2 linked regions of the Oreochromis niloticus genome follow. The protein of the gene in region 1 interacts with the protein of each later gene in a pairwise test. Links are inferred from orthologs where the notes say so. Each region holds a gene or a part of one and is shown on either strand. Other genes may lie near its edges. The genes, in order: srfb and elk4.

Region 1 (3,922 bases):
GTGTGGGCAACCTTTTCAAAAAAAAAAAAAAGAAAAGAGAAAAGAAAACCATCCCCACACTGTGTCAAATAGTGTTCATGTTGCCAAGAGCCTACATAAAGACACCTCAGTTTCCACGACAACAGTCTGGGATACATAAAAAGAGAGAAACACAGCAGAGCGCATGGTGCAGCCGTATCGAAGAAACACAGGGACAAGTTAAAGGAAAGAGAAAAAAACTCCTGGACTCCAATAAAGCACCGCTTACAAGTGTTTATTTAAAGTCATAATGAAAAGTGGCCGAGTCCACATCACAATAACTGCTGGGCTTGTGGTCAACAGCTGACCCCAGCTCAAGTAATCCACTCTCCGTGACTCTATACCAAACTGTGGTGTTTTATTGTGGCATCAAATCGTGTGGGTGAGCTGTGAATTTCCTCAGAAATGTTGCTTTAAGGAGACAGTAATGGGAGCAGTTATGACTGAGAAGCAAGCTTTGTCATCTTTAATGTCGCCTGCTTATGAGCCAGAGTCAACTGACAAAAGTGGAAACCAGGACAAGTCATCAGTGAGACTTGGACGTCTGTGTAATGTACAGCACCATAATGCATGCACAGACAGACAGCACCCCCCCACTACCACACAACCCAGGCTTCTCGCTTCTGTCTCAGTGTTCTTTGACCGTTCTTTGGTCCGTTTCCCTGGGGTTTTGTTAGCTGTTGGCACATACAGGCCGACTGCTGCTTACTGCCACATGGCTGCCGCCTGTAAGCAGTGACAGAGGGAACAGGCTGTGACTTGTGATGAGAACAACATCTAATAGTTGCAAGGATGTCTGTGAAGGTGTGTGGGGGTATGTGTGCAGGTATGCATGCATGAATGAGTGGGTCAGTTTATAAGTTTCTGTGTGTGATAGTTGAGATTGGGGGTGTCATAAATAGACCTGTCATTTGCTCTATTCTATTTAAAGCCCAGTGGCTGTCATGAATGTTCTGACTTCCTCACATCCACTGAGTCACTTCTGGACCACAATGGCTTTGTCTTTCATAAGAAATACACTGACACAAGACTGACATCAGGTCAGCAGCATGTAGGCTCACATGAAAAAAAAAACAACAACCCAAAAACAAACCCAAAGTCTTTCTTGTGGTTATTGTAATAACAGATGCACACTGTCCCAGGGTGCTGTGATTTTTTTTTTTTTAAAGGTTATTAACAAGTGCACTTCCATGAATGACTGCAAAGCACCCTACAGTGTGACACTGCTGTACTTCCAGGCCAATCAACAGCTAAAAGAGACTCTCAAATCAAACGCTGGCGCAGCTGGATGAGATCCAGACGCATCACCTGACTCACCTTCTTCATTATGCCCGTCTTCCTCTTGCTGAATGTGGTGTACCGTCTCAGCTTGTTGTCAATAAATTCCATCTTTATCTTTACGCGTCCACGTGTCTTCTTGCCCGGTTTTGCCCCGGCGACCCCTCCGGGCACCATGCTGTAACCTCCGGGCGATACTCCTACCTCCTGTCCCGACACCGCAGCCTCCATCTCCCCTCTCTCCCGCTTCACCCCTCTCCTGCTGTCCCCAAGTGAACCCACGGGTTCGTCATCATCTCCGGAGTCCGAGTCGTTATCTGAGCCGCTGCACAGAGGCGCACTCTCCCGGTCCGGATCGAAGCGGGCTCCGTGAGGCAACATGACTCCTGGACTTAAGCCCACCATGCTGCTTTGAACGGAAGTCTGAAGAGGGTTTACACCGGTCCCGTTCCCCGGCCTCGCACCTCTCGGACCCCCTGGACCATTAGCTCCCAGCATCCCAATGGTATCTCTGTCCCCCTGTCGCCCTGCAGCACCGGTACTCTCGCTGACCCCCGGTAGAGCTTGCCCTGATCTGACAAGAACGGGACGAATCCCGCTGCCGACCAACCCCGAGCCGTGTTGTGTTGTACCCCTGCCTGAACCCGAGCCGTTTCCAGATGGTGCCGATCCAACCTGGCTCGGTAACATTATATATTTACTGGAGCGAGTTTTTTAAACACCAGCCAAGAAAGCTGGATTCGGTTGCCTCGTAAATGACTGATAAAACGCATACACGTCCGGGCCACGATATGTAAACAAACCCGACCAAATGATGGTTCAGAGACTCCAGGAAATTACCGAGACAAACTTTCGAAAGTGATGCTGCCCCCAAGACCCTTCAACCCCGGCTCAGTTTGCTTCACCCTCCTCCTCTATTTCCAAAACTCTGAGCACTTTCTCAAAAAGGAAAGCGCGAAGAGCGACCTCCATATTGTTGCGCCACGTCACCTAGTCCGCCCTGTGAACCGAAAATAGCTCTAGTGTCGATTTGCTCGCACACAAGTCGAAGTTTCTCTCAGATAATGTTACAGTATTTCTCTTTCCGCGTGTCACAAACGAACATAAACCTCAAAATTTAAGACAGCGCAAGCGATAGCGGAGTAATACCTCAGCCGAGGAACTACTTCCCTCCTTATAAAGAGATACAATGTTTCCTTATTTGGTGCTGTCTCTCCTTATTTGGTGAGTCACAGCGTCGTGTACGGATTGGTTGAGGATTATCTGAGTAGTGCTGTCATTGGTCAGCGAAGCACACTCATTAGAATAAATACCAAAATGGTTGCGCTAACTGACAACGTCACCGTGGAGAAGTAAAGAGGCACCAACATAACAAAACATCCAACTTTTATTTTATTTATTTATCTTAATTACCCACAGGTTGTAGCGCCTATAACACACAGCAAACTCCCATTTTCCCGGAAGTTGAACTATATAATCTCCTTTTATCTGAAGCGCATGTGTGCAGCACTGTTACTGTAGATAATTCAGCAATATGAGATAATTTAAGGTGCCAGATTATCGCACACCGACTTGCACAGGGAATGTAACTGTAATAAGCAAGTTCCCTTGAGTATGAAGCCTGCTGCTTCCTACCAACTTTTTAATAACGCCACTGTTAAGCAAGGTGCATTCTCTGTCTGTTTGCTTCATCTTGTTCACCTTTGCACCAATTCCAGCCCTCTTAGTAAAATGTGTTACCAGTGTCGTCAGAGATGGCTTCCTCCTCTACAAGTAGACCTGACAGCAAGGACAAACCAGCTTAAACTGATGTCATTCATCATTAGGCTTTCTTTGAAACGTGTAATCCGTATTCATTTAAAAGAAAAAAAAAGTATCAGAGGGAAATCAGTCAGAGGCACTTAGGTGTGCTGTTTGAAACGATGGAACAACCTCCACCCACCTGGTCTTACGGGCAAGTTAAAACAAACGCCAGAGTTTTGAGGCATTTGAAGATGGTTCAGTGGCAGGATGCTCAGGGGATTTTTATTGCAAGTGAACTACAAAATCGAAAGTTCGGTGAAACGCAGATTTACTCGGAAAATTGTTATAATATCACCGCAGTGGAAAGACATTTATTGCGTTAACAGACTCATTTCTATTCAGTGTTGCTTCTCGGCATGTCACGCGCACCGAACGAGGCCCAAAAAGTGACATGCGCACGGTGCTGTGTGCAAATCTCAAGCGAAGTCCCCCCCCAACACACACACACACACACACGCGCGCGCACACACACACACACACACACACACACACACAGAGTGCACAGTGCTCAAAGTTTGGAGGAGACCCATAACGACTGAGGAAGTGCTAAAACTCACTGAGCACGTAGACCCATTGAGGAAACTTCTTTAAAAGCTAGTTACCACATTAAACTGTAAACAAATTATAATGGGGAAAAAATGTTTGGCAAGCCTCAAGGGTCAGGTTTAATCCTTACCTAACCGCACAGCGCCCTCTAGTGGCTACAACAGAGACTTTTTATTTGGATAAAGAAAAAAGTAGTGCTGGATGTACTTTTACAAGGTCATACAAGTGGTTTAACAAACTACAGCCCAACACTATAAAGTACAAATACTTCTAGTTC
Region 2 (3,922 bases), on another chromosome or scaffold:
AGTTAAAAATAGCATTAGTATACAGTGTATCGTGATATAGACAAAAAATGTTGTGATTAGATTTTCCACATATCGCCCAGCCATAGTACTAATGGTATCAGTCTACAGCTCTATGCTGACTGTATGCCAGTGTTAATTTAATTATTTCATTCATTGAACACAATGACACAATTGCTTTACTTTTCACAATTTACTCACTCTTCTTTGAAAATTAAGTCACTGCTAACCAGCTAGCTCTGCACTGGTTGGTTAGGTTCCTATCGTGGTGGTCATCAACATCATTCAGTTTTTTTGAGTTCTTGAGTTGAGTCTTGAGAAAAGATCAACCTTCACCATCTCGGACCGACTGCAATGCATGCGCTCTGTGAATGCAATTAATCAAATGCACAAACAGCACATAAATACAACGTCTTTGTCTCCATCCATACTGGCTGTATTTTCCAAAAGGCACTGGATCGACTAGCTGGTTTTGACTGGGTTCCATTTTTGTACAGTTCATTGTCCAAATGTTGTGCCACAAACACTCTCCTACTGGCTTTAATGGTAGTATATCATAGAATTCCCAGCATTTTGAGTCAAGCCCTATAATTCAGCACCAGCACAGGTCCATGTATGTGAGGAACTGAGAACCCTGTGCTTAACTTATTTCCAACAGCAATGCTGCCACAACAACAGGGAAACCAGTATGTTTTCAGTGAAGGAATAATCTGAAAAACATTCCATCTCTCTGCTTCTCTTCTACTTTCTGTGGTCGCATCATGTTTTTGTTGTCAGATGACTGTACCGGAAAAACATATTAACACAGATTAAACCTGCCTTTAATTTGCGGTTTGCTTTTCTTCACTGCTAAAGTCACAATTTTTTTTAATGAGAAGGCATCTGATAAAATTGCCCATTCACATACAGTAAAGACTTAGCTGGTCTGTGATTTCAGTTCAGTTCATATCATCCAAACCAGGATTTACACACTCAGTTACAATTTCTTTCCCCAAGCTATCATGCCCCAACCCCCAACTCACACATCAGCACTTCAAACACACATACAAAACATACTCACACATACACATAAACATCACCACCACACAGGACAAGCGCAATACTTTGGCGCAACAGTGCACATCTGCATAAACCTTGTACATCTGTTTGTTTGTTCTTTAAATTGTTAGCTATTTATTTGTTTTTTATTGTTATTTATTCCATTTTGGTTGAACATATGATGTTCAATGACAATAAAAGGATTCCGATTCACACGTTATAATTGTGAGGAAAGTTTCTTCTGCTGATACACTGACGGTACATAACTGACACTCTTTCAGAACTCGATAAAGGCCAGTTTCGAGCCAGGGAAAACCTTGCTACCATCATAAGTTCTGTGGTAAACACTAGAGAGACTTAATCATTGTTGAATAGGAATAATTTGTAATACTTTGCTTAGAAGGTTTTTGTTTTGTTGACTAATATATCAATGCACACTGATATAAATGGAAGAAGGGGTGCTCTTTAAAAAAATAAATAAATAAATAACAGCAACAAACTGTTATCTATTGACCATTTTCCCTCATTAGGACATTAGTACATAGAATTGAATGTGTGTGAGTGAGAAAGATTTTCTTTTACGCATTTATCAAATGATTGTAATAAAAGCATTAATAAAAGCCACCCAACATCACCCCCATCTATCTTTTGGAGTGCTGCCTCCCACGTGGGGGGTGTTCTGATGAGTTATACATATATATGCATCATAACTTTATTTAAAAAGTCTAATGGATCATGCTTGGAGCCCACTCTCAATAATCCACAAGTGATGTAGTTTTGGAAAAGCTTTATTTTGTAAGAAGCTCGTTTTTTCCTCATGCTTACTCTTCAGTTTTAATAACAGCTCCTATTGCAGGTTTTATGTACCTGTAATTCACAGCTCCACTCCTCTTGCGCACAAAAACTTATCACTGAGGTGATCGCTGCTGCTGTGTGTCGCTGGCTTTTTTTTATCTGCGATTCTTGTTATTTTGTCCAAGTAACAGGTTCAATATGACTTATGCTCTCGTCAGTATCTGTCAACATGTGTGCGTATAAGCTTCTTATGGGCCAGGGAATAATAAATCTGTCCTGACTCATCGAAACCTGCTGGGATGCAGACATCCACCCCACACACACACACACACACACACACACACACACAATCTGTCCCAAACTGTCGTGTTAAACCGGTGATATCAGGGCAAAAATAGGACAGTGTCAAAACTGGTGCCAGGGAAGAAGATTACCACTGAACGTTATGTAACTCCTGACATTAGTTGCAAATGTTATCTATGCAGATAACGTCAGCTAGGTCAAATCAGTCAAATGAAGTGTGTTATCTGTGTGGTGCGAACGCTAGGACCTGAGTTGCTGTTTTTCTCCCCTCTCACAGCCAAGCACCCACACAGTTCAAAATAAAAGACCACTTGTTGATAGGTAACGTTTGCTAGTTTCGTCGCCGTCAACACAGGCTGGACGTCTTTTTTCCCCTCGAGACTTGAAAGTCTCGAGCTATAGCTTCGAAGCTACGTTTAGCACGAGCGCAAACATCCGCGTACACCAACAAATCAAAGCAGTCTGTTATTTTGCTAACTCTAAGTTAGCATTTAGCTAACCTGGCGTTAGCTTTGCCTGCTAACATTACCTCGCTCGCGGAGCCCGCTGAATTTCCGAGTCGTCGAGCCGCATCGAAATATTCCCCAAACATTTCCGGAGGGCTTTCTATACGACCATAGCTCAGGAAACAAGTTTCAAACAGAACGTCAAGCAAATGCCTGAACATCAAACACATTAAACTGTATTTGGCTCCCACTGACGATATATCCTCTGAACAGGAAATACTGTCGCGTTCAACGTTCCTCGTACACTTCCATTCAGTGAATTATCCGCCTTTAACTGCTTCAGTGTGCTGGCGGCACTAGATTATTTTTTTATTGGTAGAAACTGAGCACCAAACGCCTTCGAGTTACGAAACTAGTGTAAGAATAGTCGCTTTTCTTGCTGGATATGCCTTTAATGTTAGCAGCGTTATTATTAAATCGGCTTAAAAGTTATACCGTGCAATCTTCAGCGTTCGCACCTGCTTTTGGTTGCAAAAATTCCTGCTCTACCAAAAGCACGTTAATGCGTCATTAAACTCACGCTGAGCTCACTTCCTTTGTCGTTATATGTCAAAGTCATTGTAGTTAATTTATATATTCTGTGGCTAAACAACAATAGTACTTTACTTACTTGTGATTTAAACAACTTAAGCTGTGGAAATGACACGTTTCTACTCACAGTTCGCAGTACTGCTGGTATCCCCACAGCAGAAATCGCAAGGCAATTACATGAAAAAAGGGATTGTGTCCACTCAGTTTTTACACATTGAAAAGTAGCCTTCACCGGCTCGTCTTGACCCTTGGTGTCACGTTATTGTTTTACCTAAAAGTTCCAAATAGCAGTGGGCTACTTCTGTGTAGTAGTCAACGTATTGCTCTTACAGATAATAATATAAGTCCAAATCAAATTTAAAAAGAAATGAAAACAAACGTCTCATAACGTTGAGTGTGTAATACAGACTTTTTTCACACAGCGCCATGTAGGTTTGGATTTTTTCCTCTTAATAATAAACAGCTTCATTTAGAAGTGTTATCTTGTTTTATCTTTGTCTAATATTTAAATTTGTTTGATGATCTGAAACATTTAAATGTGACAGACATACAAAAAAAGAAATCCAGACAGGAGCAAACACTTTTTCACACCACTGTATATTCCCCAGTTTCTTATGGAATTGTGCTGCTGAGTGACATTGTAGTTCCTTTTGGTAAAAAAAAAAAAAAAAAAATCCACCAATGCACTGCTAAGTAATTAAATCTAATAGCAAAAAAAAGTGAGAATGTGGAAGCAGAGTCATGCTATTCAC

What was found.
Region 2: the proteins of srfb (region 1) and elk4 interact in a two-hybrid assay, tested with the Homo sapiens proteins (2 studies listed by BioGRID and IntAct). The link is inferred for Oreochromis niloticus from reciprocal best matches to the Homo sapiens genes SRF and ELK4.

Annotation. Positions count from the first base shown.
Region 1 is NC_031978.2:24,480,770-24,484,691, reverse strand, and holds the start of srfb (serum response factor b), read right to left. Parts: upstream 2,469-3,922; 5' UTR 1,987-2,468; coding exon 1,336-1,986; intron 1-1,335. UniProt on the Homo sapiens protein: SRF is a transcription factor that binds to the serum response element (SRE), a short sequence of dyad symmetry located 300 bp to the 5' of the site of transcription initiation of some genes (such as FOS).
Region 2 is NC_031970.2:38,506,576-38,510,497, forward strand, and holds the start of elk4 (ETS domain-containing protein Elk-4), read right to left. Parts: upstream 2,879-3,922; 5' UTR 2,663-2,878; intron 363-2,662; 5' UTR 200-362; coding exon 199-199; intron 1-198. UniProt on the Homo sapiens protein: Involved in both transcriptional activation and repression. Interaction with SIRT7 leads to recruitment and stabilization of SIRT7 at promoters, followed by deacetylation of histone H3 at 'Lys-18' (H3K18Ac) and subsequent transcription repression.